2 linked regions of the Styela clava genome follow. The protein of the gene in region 1 purifies or fractionates together with the protein of each later gene. This does not show direct contact. Links are inferred from orthologs where the notes say so. Each region holds a gene or a part of one and is shown in the gene's direction. Other genes may lie near its edges.

The links.
Region 2: the proteins of syntaxin-1A-like (region 1) and synaptosomal-associated protein 29-like purify together in Drosophila melanogaster (affinity purification with mass spectrometry; 3 studies listed by BioGRID, with this or other methods). This does not show direct contact. The link is inferred for Styela clava from reciprocal best matches to the Drosophila melanogaster genes Syx1A and Snap29.

The regions. Positions count from the first base shown.
Region 1 is NC_135252.1:6,862,247-6,870,958, forward strand, and holds the start of syntaxin-1A-like, read left to right. Parts: upstream 1-4,555; 5' UTR 4,556-4,764; coding exon 4,765-4,791; intron 4,792-8,434; coding exon 8,435-8,524; intron 8,525-8,712.
Region 2 is NC_135264.1:14,195,161-14,204,551, forward strand, and holds the start of synaptosomal-associated protein 29-like, read left to right. Parts: upstream 1-5,317; 5' UTR 5,318-5,464; coding exon 5,465-5,671; intron 5,672-6,123; coding exon 6,124-6,314; intron 6,315-7,817; coding exon 7,818-7,978; intron 7,979-8,640; coding exon 8,641-8,807; 3' UTR 8,808-9,391.

The DNA.
Region 1 (8,712 bases):
TTAATGAATTCTATTCCCGGGCGGATTAGTATGGTACCGGTATTCATCTGGAAAAACAGGAAATACGACCTGAAAAACTGGGTCTGTTACGTGCGTTCTAGTGCATTTCAATAACAAGAGAAACAGTAATTAACTTATAACATTAGGTACCGTACGGTACCGTAACTTAGGTACCGTACCGGGGTGGAGGCTAACTCGCCATGAGGGCTAACTCGCCATGGACCACTCGCCATGCGACGGCGGTTAACGGGTTAGCCTGCAACTGTGTGGAGGCTCTTCTTGTAATGGGAGATGGAAAGGTGGCTGTTTATACTAACAACTTCAATAGTAAGGATAAATATATTAAATTAAATGTGTTTGGTTACAATACCTACTGTGCAAATGGTAACAAAGTGACAAGAAAACGTGCTTATATGTCGGAGGGCATACCGGTACCGTACGGTACTCGACGCGCAAAGGATGTCTCAACTTATCATTTTCATCTAAGCATGCTAAATATATCATCATATTAATTGATTGTATGAGCTCTGGATCAACAACAACGCTAAATATATCAAAAGTTCTATTTTGCTACCGGCAGTCTCATTTTATTCTAACAACCGTTGATTGCGAGCAGAGAGGGAGAGAGAGAGCTAACTCGCCATGTCTATTTTCTTTATAATTGACGATCGACATCGCGAGTTCGAGAGAGAGAGAGAGGGCTAACTCGCCATGTCTTTATTCTTTATAATTGACGATCGACATCACGAGTTCGAGAGAGAGAGAGGACTAACTCGCCATGTCTTTATTCTTTATAATTGACCATCGACATTTCGAGAGAGAGAGAGGGCTAACTCGCCATGTCTCCTTCGAAGATGTTCAAAAATCTACGGCCCGGCCTTTTGTAAAGAGTAAGTAACCTAGTGTAAGTATTTTTCCCCTTCCTCAGTTTCTTTTCCATGTACAGCTATGATGCCTATCTGTGCTTGGGTTTCTTCTGGTAAAAAGAAATTCTGACTCGAAGGCTGAAACCTTGTCGTGGTGAGTTGGCTTAACACTAATATCAGCCGGCATCAGGGCAATCGACAATTATATAGAAAATAGACATGGCGAGTTAGCCCTCTCTCTCTCTCTCGAACTCGCGATGTCGATGGTCAATTATAAAGAATAAAGACATGGCGAGTTAGCCCTCTCTCTCTCTCGAACTCGCGATGTCGATCGTCAATTATAAAGAATAAAGACATGGCGAGTTAGCTCTCTCTCTCCCTCTCTGCTTGCAATCAACGGCTGTTAGAATAAAATGAGACTGCCGGTAGCAAAATAGAACTTTTGATATATTTAGCGTTGTTGTTGATTCAGAGCTCATACAATCAATTAATATGATGATATATTTAGCATGCTTAGATGAAAATGATAAGTTGAGACATCTTTTGCGCGTCGAGTACCGTACGGTACCGGTATGCCTTCCGACATATAAGCCCGTTTTCTTGTCACTTTGTTACCATTTGCACAGTAGGTATTGTAACCAAACACATTTAATTTAATATATTTATCCTTACTATTGAAGTTGTTAGTATAAACAGCCACCTTTCCATCTCCCATTACAAGAAGAGCCTCCGCACAGTTGCAGGCTAACCCGTTAACCGCCGTCGCATGGCGAGTGGTCCATGGCGAGTTAGCCTCCATGGCGAGTTAGCCGTCAGCCCCGTACCGTCCGGCAGTTTATTTTAGCAACCGAACCGGCACCGTACCGTACGGTACCGGTACCGGTATCTGGTATTGCTATTACGGTACTGTATTATCAGATTAGAGGCTAAATGTTTGCAGAGGTAGGTATTTTTCGATATACCGGTACTGTTACACAGATCTATGCTGCTGTGGACTTGGTTGAGAGACGTGTACCGTATACCAGTATACGGTACGGTATGTAGGCTATATCACAGTCAGATAGCACTCTAGCAACACTGCACCAGGTTGAAGTAGCCTACTGAAGTAATGTATTTTTCAACTGTCGTCTGTATTTAAAGGCAGGAGAATATTTTCGTGTATGTTATCCCAATGCTTGACCTCAGTAAAATTATCCTTATATTTTATTATCGCAAAAGTTTTGATACCGGTACTTATTTTAAGAAAGTTTTAAGGAGTACCGGTAACCTGTAGAAGCTGGTTTACATGTTCAAAACTATCATTTTTTATGCAATATTTGAGGACGTGCTGCTTACAGGTACGGTACCGGTATTACATAAAAAATAATGACAATTAAATTATTTTATTTACAACTGATTTTTGGAAAAACAACTAAAACTGACAAATAACGTGCAAAAAGACAAAAATGGGCAATGTTTACTACCACGCTTGAAAATCTTTCTGAGCAGCTGCATAAATTGCAATTGTTATGTCATCAAGAACTTATTGTTGATTGGTCATTGTTATGGAAATAAACATAAGAATCAAAGCTCTGGGAAACATTGAAATCAACCATAGGGGGTTTTGTTTATTACATCCAGGTCTTCAGGTTATATAATATATATTTATTGTAATGGACTCTAAATAAAGGGAAGTCTTATGAAGTTAAAATGTATGAAAGAATTGGAGAATATGCACATTTATGGCATCTCTGTTTATCAAGTTGTTAGTCATGTTGTTCATCACGTTGATGCTCTGATATCATTAGGAATCAATGACCTTGACTTGTGTTCGAAATCAAGCAATCTTTAACAGATAAGTGTGGTACTCAATATGTCAGGGTTTCAATATGTCAAGGTCCCCCTGATACTTGTTTAAGGTTGTCTTGTGTGTACTTTAAATTTGATTTTATAGGCTTATTTTTCTAGAGGAGAGAAGAGTTGATAGGATGGGTTAATCAGATGGCACTTCACTTAAATGCATTCACTTACTATCCCTTGCTCAGGGATATTTGACTAGTTATTTGATTCTAATGTGGGAACTAAGGATCTAGTGTAGTTTCGTACCTAAAGTACTTCTAGTGGGCGTAGCATAACAATTTCATCCCAAAATTATGTCAGTACGATGTCGCATTGCTGCATTGATGTAATGAGGCCCTTCAAACTATACGAACTGTCATTCAATACGCGCAGACGATCACCCGAAATAGAGCAAGCTGTTTTTCTTGTGGCAACGATCTCGATATGAGAGAGATTGCTGCCGTCAGTGAGTTTTCCATCGTCGGCGCAGATGTCATTTCGGGCGATTGTAGGTATACTTTGGCAATGGCGTGATTGTGATGTCATAGTGACATAATTTTGGGATGGCGAAGTCAGGTGGGGGTTAGGATTGATATGTGTAAAAATCGTTATGTTCTATCCCCACTAGAGGTACGAAACTACACGAGACCCGGAACTAAATGGTATAGAAAGCCATTGTTAAACAGCTGTTGTGTGAACCATCGCATGACAGCGAGTGTGTGAACCATCTCATGACAGCGAGGGGTCCAGAAAGGAATCTTACATAATTATCCATTACAGGATTTGACTCTGTGAACCCATATGAGGGAACTACATGGTCTGATACGCCAACAGTGGTTTCTTTTATCTATCAATTACAAGCAAGCAAAGTATATCTAATTTGATTATGTCTGCATTTGAACCAATATAAACTATTAGTTACTTTTCGAAAGAATCAATTTTTTTAATCAAAATTTCATTTTTCATTGATCCATAGAAACAGAGTGCATTCTTCAAACATCTGGCATTAAGGAATAATCCTTTCCTGTGTCCATTTGACTTCTGGAAATTCAATTCATTTTCATTCTCCAACAAATCAATAATTATTGACTGAGCAAAATTTCATTTGCTGTGTCCTTCCATGCATTAATAAATAATTGCAATAGAGATGGAGTGTTGGATATAACATTGCGGAACCAAACTGTGTTTGGATTAGGAGAGAATATTTCTATTTGCTTTTTGTGTTTGCTAGGATAATTATATTCCAGGGAAAGACAGATCCTTTGTGACTGAGTTAGGGACAGGGTCTTTTTATGTTATAAGTTAGATTTTCATTTTTGAGTGGATCAAACATAATATAATGAATAATATGTATTGTCAATATATAATATATATAGTGAGAGTTTTCAGATTAGTTAGTTGGTTATATCAGGTGGTGAATAAGGTAATTATAAGTCTTGGATTATACCTGTATTCCAATATTTTAATATAACTGTAGCTATAGTCGGTATTTTAAAAGATGTATTTTTAATAAAACGACAAATTTGAAGAATTTAAAAATTGTCAATTTGAGCAACAAAATTAGGACTTGGCAGGTAGGTCAATTTGACTTTAAATGACCCTTACATTCAATAATTGCCAAATTTTTATTATCAAGTTAAAAATATTTCATAACAAATTATTTATGCACTCAGTATCATAGTTTAGTTCTTGATGGATTAAGATTATATCAAGTTTTTCACATTTAAAATATTTTTTAGTGGGTTAGTGACAGAATCTAGGAACTTCTGATCATAATTTATCAAATATGTTGTATTCTGCATGTATTTCCATATAATTCTGTTTTATGGTTACTTACAATAATGTGCTTTGAAAATTTTATTTATAGAAATGTATGCCAGGGTAACGAACTGATTAAATTAAATACCGTCAGGGTAATAAAGAATTTTGTATATCTACTCCATCAAAACTGTATTGGAATAAAACATAAAAGCCAGCAATTTTTGGATGTATATTGAAGGATATATTTCCAGAGTTACTGTTTAGATTTTAAAATAGCCTTCATTTTTTGATTCTCTTACAAGCAACTTCTCCTGACAAGATGAGGGACCGATTGGAGGAGTTACAGGTAGGTTCTCTACTTAAATTTTAATGCTTCATAGGTCATTGGGTTAGTTATAATAAAGTCTATTTTGGGGTTATTATTTGAGGATAAATGACAGTGTGTTGGACATTTTTGTGTATAATAAATATACAGCCAGGGTTGTCCTTATTAATTGTGGTATTTGGTGGAGTGATCTGTAAGAGCTGTCACAACCTTATTCTTCTACATTCTATGTACCGGTAGATACCGTAATTCATACTGTTATCCTAGTAGGCCTATATTTGGTATTTTTTTTTCTTTTTATCTCGAACAATCATAATTCACGCATGAGAGGTAATTTTGATTTCGCTCAAATTGTCATTCTACCAAAAGAAGACCGATTTTCATTTATCGCAAAATGTATTTCATTATGTAGCCTATGTTTCATTATGTTTCCTCAGTTTTATGAAAATCTAGATTGGCTTCACATTGGTTTTGCCTGTATCAAGCAAGTGTTTGCGTTACTAATGGCACTATTCTATTGTAGTCATAAAAATAAAGCAGAAAGACAATAAATGTATCTAATGCTATGTAATACAAGTCTGTTTAAGCTCTGAATTCATCACATATATTTCAGACATATGTGATGGAGGTACAAATATAATAAATCTCTATATAATTTGTACACATTTGATCAGGATATAGCATGTATACACAGCTAACAATCATACAACTAAAAAATACATCAACTAGAAATTAGTTTTAAAATAAAAGATAATGCTTACAGCTAGAAATATTCATAATTTTCTTGAAACATCATGCTTTTTAATTTTCATATTAAATTGATTTCTAATGATTGCTCAGTTATTAACAATCAATCGATAAATATTGTCATTTGTGCCATACACTATATACGGTAGATTGTTTGCTACCATACAGATTGTTCACACAGTTTGCTGTGATATACTGTGTTACACCTTGGTGACTCATTTATGATGTGTTGAACCGACACAGTGTCATCTATGTTGCTATTATTACGACTGAAGTATGAATTGCTGGGACCAAAGTGGCAAATCCCAGTATAGAATGTATCATTTTACCATAAGAATATCATTAGTAATTTTATTTTGATGGACTCTCATTTGAATGTTTACTTGCCTTAGTATGAACTTTGTAAAATTAATCAAGATTTGGACATATCTCAGCATCCATTTATTTATCTCAATATTGTATTGCTATGATTGATTTACCACTGCATATTGCAAGCGACAGTGGATTCTGGTCTCACTCCACTTTTAAAAAAATTAAAGCCAAGTAGCCTTTCAAGTAAAGTGACTGGGAAAAGTGAATATGCTAATATCAAATGCCATCATATCCTGTCTTTCCATTGTCCTATTAAGCCACACACTCACATACACACATCCATTGTTTTGGCCGTTTCACAGCTTTTTATAAGGATGGAAAAGTGGTATAAATTATAAAAAGGTGTCTGATTTGCTCTGACTGAAAATTTCTACATTTCTGAAATCCTGATATTGGAATTGAACACATGATCATCATGTACTGTTTTTATGCCTTATAGCAGTATTTAACAAGGCTATGAAAATGTTAAATTCTGTCATAATTTATAAATTTGTCTCATTTTGTATCTTTGTTCTGAAGTCCTATTGGGGAGCCACTTCTGTCAATTTTCTAATTAGGTACCTAAATTTTATATCAGCAAATAAATTATTCTCTCGTTGGGCATCTTATGAAAAATTTGGTAATTGACTTCATTAGCAAGCACATATAAGATAAATTTTCGCAACCTATGCTACAGTATGTTATATATATCTAATAAAAGTTGATCAACACACGCACTTATTGGGTGCTATCGTTGATAAGCACTTTTATTACTGAATACAGCTCTTATTAATAAACAAGAGTTCACATTTAAAACCAGGTATTATCACAAATAAATTTGAGTAAAATCCAGTGATTGAATTCAAGTGAATGTGACGTGTTTCCTTGTTTATTCTTACAATTTCACAATTTCTGATTAAAGTGTGTGTATAATATTTTCTAAATCCACCTCCCTTAATTATCCATCAAACTCTCAAGGCCCCATTTGCCATTGAAATAATAATTCTTGAAAAAGAATAAGGTGTAAGCCCAAATAATAGAAACAACTCTCATGTCAAAGTGAGGAGGAGGTTTCATCTGGGTACTTCTTTATTTTATCTGGAAACTAAGGGACAATGAATGAAGGAAAGCATAGAAATATTTGCTGTATTCTGCCAAATTATTGTACTACTAGAATATGTAATCAATCTTGTTGCAAGAAAAGTTATTGAACAGAAATATCACATTTGGGACTGAGGTAGCATTGTATTAAAGCACCTTGCCTTCTGTCCTTCATGTAATATTTATGTCCATCCTACCAGTTGGCATAAATAAAATATGCACATGCTAACTTTTCATTTTTTAATTGCCACTGTCTTTTGTAGGTGCCTGAGCTTTTCTTTTCTCCGTGATACTCATATCTGATAATGATATAGATTTCTTCCAGGCTTGAAAGTTTTATTAATATCGATCTATAATATTTGCATATTGAGCGATATCTTCAATCTGAAAGCGAAATCCTTTTTTTAATGCAATATGGTCTATGGATTGACCTGGATCTGACCTGTTAGTATCATCTCATTTCATTTTAAGTTTAATACAGTAATTTTTATTCATGGGATACTTGATAAATTTTTGCAATTCCCCTATTTGGTAAATGTTTTTTTATACATATAGCTACTAAGTCTGTATAAATCTATTGATAAGAGGATTCTTAATTTTGTCCAAACCCAAGTCTTGGGTTAAACTGATTGCCCAAAACAATCAAAGTCCAACCAAAATTATTCTGCCTTCCTGCCTTCCAGCTTGTGCCATATTTTAGAATCATGAGCATAATTCAAAAGTTTCGGTATCCAAACCTTGTATTTTGGATATAGGAGTCAATAATGGCCTCTCAGGACATATTTGAGAACAGTTCAATGCTTTATTTCATACATATATAACTGTCAGAGATGGTTAAAAACACTAGTGAAAAGTAATTGGAAAACATCTGAGGATATGCTCAGAGTTAATTCACATACAAAGTTGATACAACAGATATAATCGATTTGAGATTATCAATATCAATACTGATACTTATATTAAAAAACAATTTAATCACATGTAAAACTCACACATTTTCGCGAACGATAGATCAACAACAATAGTTAGCCAAAGCCAAATGATTTACTATTCTGAACACACAATAAAATAAGGTGGATTATTGAATATATTCTAAAATGAGTCATGTTCAATGCATACACATGTACCAAAATCATTTTAAATTTATAGATATTCAGTTTGCTACTTCAGATAAACATTGTTTTGGTTAATATCAGAAGTTGAACTAAGTCTATTGGTTTTCTGGTAGATGTCAAATGTTCAAAAGGACAAATTTTTAAAATGAAACGTTTTTAAATTATTCCTAAAATTATGCTTCAAGAAACTCTATTGAACATAACCAATTTCAAATGTATCCAATATTCAATTCACTTTATATACCGCTGAACTAACAGCGCATTCTAATATACAGTTTTTTGTATTGTTGCCAGTAATATTGTGCAGTGAAATCATGACTGTGATCATTATTTGATTTTTCACATTTCAGCGTCAAGCTAATTTTGGAGTTGAAGAAGATGAAGATGATGAAGTCACTGTCAAAGTTGAACCAGATCACATGGAAGAATTTTTTGGGCAGGTGGGCATTTCAATAATATATTGTATTAATAACATCAATATCAGGGGTGGGCGATTTCTTTTCTGAGTGGCCAATAGGTCAGTTACAGGAAATGAGACTTGGTTACTGGGCCGAAAGCTCAAAACTCGATATGAAAAATTATGAATAGAAAACAGTTTATTTACAAAAGCTAGTTCAACAGCTAGGCT
Region 2 (9,391 bases), on another chromosome or scaffold:
CAATCTCCGTGATTACATGCTTGTCTTACACTTGCACAGTGTGTCCCACATTCGAGACGATTGTCTTTCTTCCCGAACATTAAAAAAGTTGACTTTTCAGCGTATAACGATTTATCTGTCTAGTAAAATTTAGTTGTGTTCAACGTAACTCGAAATTGTATCGATTGACGGCAAAATGAAGTTATGGACAAAGGAAACTACACGGACAACGTGAACTTAAAATCAATATGTCCGCTTCTGCTTGTTTAAAGACTTGCTTGGAGTGATATCGTATACCGCCCTATTAGTAGATAGTAGCACATTACATAATCTATCGCTGGGCATAAAATAACAAATCTTTATGTGTGTGGTATCCAACTTCAACCATTGCGTGAATTAATATGTTCTTTCTGCTTGTCTAAAGCCTTACATAGAGTACTATCGTAAAACGCCCTAATAATAACTAACAGCACAATGCATAACCTGTTGCTGGATATAAAATACCAAATCTTTAGATGTGTGTGATCGTGAGGTGGCGGGCCTCATTGAGTTTGTTAACATAATCGCCGACGCCATTGAGGGTGATCAGCTCTATTTCGTTATTGTGACGTCGCAGTGGCGTAATTTTTGGATGACGAAGTCAGGTGAGGGTCAGGAATATTATATACAAAAATTGTTACGCTAAGCCTAATAGAAGTTATTGAGGTAAGAAACTACACCCATAGCGGACACACAGGCGTATTTATCACGATTGCATTATGGTCGCTATTATTAGGCAAGCTCTATTTCGTTATTGTGAATTCGCATTGACGTTATTTTTTGATGACGAAGTCAGGGCAGGGTCAGGAATATTATATGCAAAAATTGTTACGCTAAGTTAACTAGAAGTTATTGAGGTAAGAAACTACATCCATAGGTGTCATTACTAGTAATCGTCGCTATTATTGGGCAAGCGTTATTTCGTGATTGTGACGTTCCAGTGACGTAATTTTTGGATGACGAAGTCAGGTGAGGGTCAGGAATGATATATGCAAAAATTGTTACGCTAAGTTAACTAGAAGTTATTGAGGTAAGAAACTACACCCATAGCGGACAGACAGGCGTATTTAACACAATTGCATTATGGTCGCTATTATTAGGCAAGCTCTATTTCGTTATTGTGAAGTCGCATTGACGTAATTTTTGGATGATGAAGTCAGGTGAGGGTCAGAAATTTTATATGCAAAAATTGTTACGCTAAGATAATTAAAAGTTATTGAAGTAAGAAACTACATCCATAGGTGGCATTACCAGTAATCGTCGCTATTATTAGGCAAGCTCTATTTCGTTATTGTGACGTCGTATTGACGTAATTTTTTGATGATTAAATCAGGTGAGGGTCAGGAATATTACGTGCAAAAATTGTTACGCTAAGTTAACTAGAAGTTATTGAGGTACGAAACTACACCCATACCGGACACACAGGCGTATTTATCACGATTGCATTATGGTCGCTATTATTAGGCAAGCTCTATTTCGTTATTGTGAGTTCGCATTGACGTAATTTTTGGATGACGAAGTCAGGGCAGGGTCAGGAATATTATATGCAAAAATTGTTACGCTAAGTTAACTAGAAGTTATTGAGGTAAGAAACTACATCCATAGGTGTCATTACTAGTAATCGTCGCTATTATTGGGCAAGCGTTATTTCGTGATTGTGACGTTCCAGTGACGTAATTTTTGGATGACGAAGTCAGGTGAGGGTCAGGAATGATATATGCAAAAATTGTTACGCTAAGTTAACTAGAAGTTATTGAGGTAAGAAACTACACCCATAGCGGACACACAGGCGTATTTATCACGATTGCATTATGGTCGCTATTATCAGGCAAGCTCTATTTTGTTATTGTGAATTCGCATTGACGTAATTTTTGGATGACGAAGTCAGGTGAGGGTCAGGAATGATATATGCAAAAATTGTTACGCTAAGTTAACTAGAAGTTATTGAGGTAAGAAACTACATCCATAGGTGTCATTACTAGTAATCGTCGCTTTTATTGGGCAAGCGTTATTTCGTGATTGTGACGTTCCAGTGACGTAATTTTTGGATGACGAAGTCAGGTGAGGGTCAGGAATGATATATGCAAAAATTGTTACGCTAAGTTAACTAGAAGTTATGTAGGTAGGAAACTACATCCATAGGTGCCATTACGAATAACGTCGCTATTATTGGGCAAGCTCTATTTCGTTATTGTGGCGTTGCAGTGACGTAATTATTGGATGACGAAGTCGGGTGAGGGTCAGGAATCTTATATACCAAAATTGTTACGCTAAGCCTAATAGAAGTTATTGAGGTACGAAACTACACCCATAGCGGACACACAGGCGTATTTATCACGATTGCATTATGGTCGCTATTATTAGGCAAGCTCTATTTCGTTATTGTGAGTTCGCATTGACGTAATTTTTGGATGACGAAGTCAGGGCAGGGTCAGGAATATTATATGCAAAAATTGTTACGCTAAGTTAACTAGAAGTTATTGAGGTAAGAAACTACATCCATAGGTGTCATTACTAGTAATCGTCGCTATTATTGGGCAAGCGTTATTTCGTGATTGTGACGTTCCAGTGACGTAATTTTTGGATGACGAAGTCAGGTGAGGGTCAGGAATGATATATGCAAAAATTGTTACGCTAAGTTAACTAGAAGTTATTGAGGTAAGAAACTACACCCATAGCGGACACACAGGCGTATTTATCACGATTGCATTATGGTCGCTATTATCAGGCAAGCTCTATTTTGTTATTGTGAATTCGCATTGACGTAATTTTTGGATGACGAAGTCAGGTGAGGGTCAGGAATGATATATGCAAAAATTGTTACGCTAAGTTAACTAGAAGTTATTGAGGTAAGAAACTACATCCATAGGTGTCATTACTAGTAATCGTCGCTTTTATTGGGCAAGCGTTATTTCGTGATTGTGACGTTCCAGTGACGTAATTTTTGGATGACGAAGTCAGGTGAGGGTCAGGAATGATATATGCAAAAATTGTTACGCTAAGTTAACTAGAAGTTATGTAGGTAGGAAACTACATCCATAGGTGCCATTACGAATAACGTCGCTATTATTGGGCAAGCTCTATTTCGTTATTGTGGCGTTGCAGTGACGTAATTATTGGATGACGAAGTCGGGTGAGGGTCAGGAATCTTATATACCAAAATTGTTACGCTAAGCCTAATAGAAGTTATTGAGGTACGAAACTACACCCATAGCGGACACACAGGCGTATTTATCACGATTGCATTATGGTCGCTATTATTAGGCAAGCTCTATTTCGTTATTGTGAGTTCGCATTGACGTAATTTTTGGATGACGAAGTCAGGGCAGGGTCAGGAATATTATATGCAAAAATAGTTACGCTAAGTTAACTAGAAGTTATTGAGGTAAGAAACTACATCCATAGGTGTCATTACTAGTAATCGTCGCTATTATTGGGCAAGCGTTATTTCGTGATTGTGACGTTCCAGTGACGTAATTTTTGGATGACGAAGTCAGGTGAGGGTCAGGAATGATATATGCAAAAATTGTTACGCTAAGTTAACTAGAAGTTATTGAGGTAAGAAACTACACCCATAGCGGACAGACAGGCGTATTTAACACAATTGCATTATGGTCGCTATTATTAGGCAAGCTCTATTTCGTTATTGTGAAGTCGCATTGACGTAATTTTTGGATGATGAAGTCAGGTGAGGGTCAGAAATTTTATATGCAAAAATTGTTACGCTAAGATAATTAAAAGTTATTGAAGTAAGAAACTACATCCATAGGTGGCATTACCAGTAATCGTCGCTATTATTAGGCAAGCTCTATTTCGTTATTGTGACGTCGTATTGACGTAATTTTTTGATGATCAAATCAGGTGAGGGTCAGGAATATTACGTGCAAAAATTGTTACGCTAAGTTAACTAGAAGTTATTGAGGTACGAAACTACACCCATACCGGACACACAGGCGTAATTATCACGATTGCATTATGGTCGCTATTATTGGGCAAGCTCGATTTCGTTATTGTGACATCGCATTGACGTAATTTTGGGATGACGAAGTCAGGTGAGGGTCAGGAATGATATATGCAAAAATTGTTACGCTAAGATAAGTATAAGTTATCGAGGTAAGAAACTACATCCATTGCGCTAAAGCAAATTAATATGTCGGTTTCTGCTTGTCTAAAGCCTTGCATAGAGTGAAAGCGTTCCACGTCCTATTAATAAAATGTGGCCCAATACATGATCAGTCTCTGGATATTAAATAACAAGTCTTTATGTGTGTGGTACCCAACTTCAACCATTGCGTAAAATAACATGTATTTTCTGCTTGTCTAAAGCCTTGGTTAGAGTTGTATCGTATAACGCTCTATTTTAGATTGTAGCACGATACATGAGCTATTGCTGGACAGAAATTGGTCAGAATGGGATATCGTGAACGTTCCTTGGCGACAATTTAGTCGCTTGTGATTCTTGTTTATTTTGAGCTCTGTACAACGACCCCGATAAGAGAGAGGTCGCTGACGTATTGAGTTTGTTGACATACTCGTAGGCGCCATTACGGGTGACCGTCGCTATACTTTGGCAAGCTGTATTTCGTTATTGTGACGTCGCAGTGACGTAATTTTTGGATGACGTCATCAGGTGGGGGTCAGGAATCATATATCCAAAAATTGTTACGCCACGCCCACTAGAAGTTATTCAGGTAAGAAAGTACATGAGACCCGGATCGGACAGGTTTGATGCAAGTTGCAGAGTTGTGCTGGAACCACAGTGACTACGGCTGTAGTCACTTTGCTGCTTTGGCTAGAACCAGTGTGTTTTAGGTATTTCTGTTTTTGCAATGGCTGAGACTGAATGTGTGATTTAAATATTTTTTACTCAGATTCTTGCCAGTTTTCCCTATCTTTTGTGTGTTCATGGTTATATTTTGGTGTATGTGTACATTTTTCTAGTGGGATAAAAGTAAACTTATTGTTATAATAATAAGTATAACTTTATTTCGACTCTGTAATCATCATACAGTCATAACAGACAATAAAATGATTGATAAAAACATAAAGAGGTGAGAGGAATGATATGTTCACTCACCCAAAAATACAGAAATATGAAATTAATTCACATACATACCTATACCTGTATTCGGATATTATACAACTCTATACGACTGACCTGGCTTATTTCGGTATTTCAAAGATTTCTTTCAAAAGAAACATTGGTCCTATAAAAAATCACTTCAGCCCATTTTCAGATTTTTGATAAAATTGCTAAATTACAGAATTACGGGACTTATATTCTTTGTCTTCATTTACAGATAAATTTCTGACTTTAGTAAGGTAGGGTAATATTATATATTTTGACGAACGTATTTGTAAGCTAACTGTATCACAAAACAAGACTATATCTCTGGAAAACTGCTATACTCGGACTACTAATTTTATTTTATGAAAATTTTGCAAAATGTCTGGAAATCCATGGTTGGATGACGTGGAGTCGTCGTCACGTCCGCCAAATCGATGGGCAGATGATGACGAAGAAGATTTTGATCCAGATAAAAACTATCTTGAACAAGTTGTCAAACGTAAAGAAGTTGATATGGTTGCAAGCACCCAAAGATCATTAGGAATGATTTATGAATCTGAGCAAGTGGGAGCAGCTACTGGGGAGGTAAATATACATATAAAATAAATGTACAACCTAATTTCCTATTACATGTTTCCCTAATTCTCTAAAGTCAAGCCGAGTCATGGTCTCATGTCGAGTCGATCACTGAGTTAAGACTCGCCTGGCGATTATTTAGAGTACGACTCTGGGTCACTTTCGAGTATTCAATGAATGAGGACTCAAGTTTAGTCAATGTCCTAAGTCTCCCAAGCACTGTTTATCATCATGTTAGTTTGTAATGAATAGTCCTCCATATTTATTGCTCAGGTGCTTTGATGTATTGATAGACCTTTGGAATAGCCTTAGATCATTGTAAGCGTGGCCTATAAGGTACACAAGTGGAGAGTTTCAACTTCCAGTAGTAGGGACATCCTTAAACATTCAGTCCTGACAGTGGAGTATTATTCAATTTTTCCGTGTCCAGATGTCTTATTATCATTAACTTTATATTACAGGAGCTCATAAGGCAAGGCGAAGCTTTAAAACGCACTGAACAACGGGTTGACCGAATGGAACAAGATTTAAAAGAAAGCGATCGACATATCGCCAGTATAAAAAGTTTATGGGGAGCTTTTGTCAATAAATTCAGGAAGGAACCTGCACCAACTCCAGTCACAACATATGATGATTCACAACCAGACTCACGGTTAGTTTTAGTCAAATATGGCCCACCTTGGTATATGACTAAGTAAAACAGATTGATTTCATAGAAGTTTTTTTCGTGTGATACAGGATACTAAAATATAAAGCTCTCGATAACATGTTATTAAAAGATTGGCATTGATATTCAAATTTCTTTCTTTAATAAAATTCTAGGAACAGCAGTTCAGTTTTCATAGTGTTTTTGTGCAGTGCAGGAGTGATGGTATATAATGCTGGAAATATCATTCGTGATCAACTTTTCTTTTTAGCGATTGAGTGAGACATATATTTTTATTGGCATAGTCAATGCTATTTCAAGGGTGTTAATGACCATTTTTGAATGTTCAAAATTGATTTATTTATACATCGTATAATTTGTCCTACTTTGCAATTCTGATGCATAAGTATCAAATTATAAATATCTGAATTTTTTTTAAATGGCTTTAAATTGGTTTTTATCGAGGTAAATCCAATAGATAATTTAATTGGACTCCTGTTAGTCTAGAATGTAATTGGTTTTGAGCATATTTATTATTAACAGGGATTTATGATTAGGATTAGTCTTCATTAGGAAGTGAAATCTTAGTTTAATTTACTGAAATTATTTATTATGATTATAATTCAATCATCATATTGATAGTTTCAGTTTCAATAGTTATATAATGTTAATTATAATTTGATGTAGTGTGTGCTTGTAGCATAACTTATTCTTGCTTGGCCTACGTATATGGCCTATATATATTGTTGGGTTCCATTACATTTGAACCCACGTACATTTGAACCCATGACAATTGCACCTGTATGCTATTGCACCTATGGAATTTTTTTGTTTTTCGGATAGTTGAACCCACACTAACCCTAACCCGTGGATATACACATGGGTTCAAATGTACGTGGGTTCAAATGTTTGGTCACCATATTGTTGGTGTTATTTTCTATAATGAGTTGGTGTTGTGATCATGAATGCTATGTTTCACCGTGTAGAAAGTTTAGACAAGTTATATCAATAGTTGACCTTTGAATCATCATATGATTCATTTCCCCCTTTTGGAACAGAGTAAAGTTATTGTACGAAGTGACCTTTACAATAAGCTGTTTCACATGGCTATTTTAGCTGACTGAGAGTCATTGATGTGAAATGAGGACATGTGAAACAAAATTGTTTTGCTGTCAAACCCTATTCTCTTGCCAAACATAGCCATATATGAACCATTAGACTTCCATGTATAATTCCTAAATTATTTCTAAATAATGTTGAATGTAAAAGGATATCGGAAATATTCACATTCCATTCCAAACTTTGAGCCATTTGAAAAAGACTGCTTGACAAAAAATTTGTCTCTGGCACCAGAAAGATAATTTAGACTCCAGCTCTTCTCTCTAAGAAAATCATATTTCTAATGAACACAAATGTTGTTACTGTAGTTGGAGAAATCTGTGGACGAAAAGCAGCTATCATAGCAAAATCTCCCTAACTAGGTTTTCAAATTTAAATCTTCTTTTCCAGGTTAGGAAAGGCCGTCGTGAATTCCAAAGTATCTGGATATCAACCTGAAGAAGATCATCCAGTATTGTTAAGACAAGATGATTCCAGGGAAAGATATGGAGCAGGATATAGCCAACAACAAGCTAAGAATGAGAGAATGGCACAAGTCGATGATAACTTGGGTTTGTCTCGAATTTATTGCTGCCTATTTATGTCTGTTAATAAGATTCAAATATAGTATGATTTTGTTTGCTCAAGTCCATGCATCTGAAATAAATAAATGCTTAACTAACTCCATACCTGGATTGATACCCAGACGAAGTCCGCCATATGATTATGCAGTCTTATCGTCTTTCCCTGCCCCGATGATAATCAAAGTAATAGGAAGTGATAGGACTTCCATATGACTGATGTCAGGTATATAGTTTGGGTATGGAGAATGGGACATATTATTACTGAATATTACGATGTAGCGAATATAAATACCATACATCGTGAAATTTATGATTACACAGCAAAAAAACTTAGTATTAGAGGTTGAGGCTAACCTTTGTCTGAGTACTTACTGAGTACTATTGGGAAAAAGTCTGTGAAAAAGTAATATTCCTATTATCAAAGCTACTATCAGAAATTTTTGTTAAACAACACTACAGCTCCCTAAACCTGAGTGGCGTGTTAAGTCAGATCAGGGATTATCTGATTAATTAATGAGTCTGGGTGGTCGTCTCATTTTATGACTCAAGTCACTCATGAGTTTTAACGATAAATGGTGACACGAATGCAACCTGACTCAAGTCTTATTAACACTGGTAAACACCAAATATCCTTGTTATCTCTATTTCAGATCAAATTTCTTCGGGATTACGAAGGCTCAAAGATCTTGGAATTGGTTTAGGAGAAGAAATTGAATCACAGGATAGGATTTTGACAAGGCTTGGTGATAAGGTCGAAAGAGTCGATAATAAGACACACATTACTAGCAAGCAGTTAATGAAATTGAATCATTCATAGGCTTTAAAATATGTTGCTATTTTTGTCCATATATTATTGTAGTATTTTTCATAGATGTGATTCCTAAAAAAAGTAGAAGCGGCTGAGCATTAATGAATAATTTGTAAAAATAATGATGAAATTCAACATATTGCTTCTTGAATTGAATAGCGGTTTTCTGATCCACTGGATGCATGTCTCAGTTTATTTGTGTATTCCTTGAGTTTGTTTTTAGCGAGATTTTTCTAGTAGGGATGGCCAAAATCAAATACATCCGGAAACGTTTTTGAATAAGAAGAATATTTCAAAAATAGCTCGTGAATTTCAGTCGTAATGCAGGATGTTTATTCATATTCTCTTTCCCAAAAGTTTATTTTTGTCTGATGATAAACCTTAAAATACCCAATCAAGATCTGACTTTATCATTCTGCGCATCACTCACTATACTTCACCTTTCTATAAATAGTAGAACATAGTAATTAGAAATTCGAGACTAATTTTTATTATTGAAGCATAAGGCCCATTGACGCTCCTAATATTTAAAAACAACCTTATGGTTCCTTGTATTATTTTTTGTATATAGTTTTTCACACTGATGTAAAAGA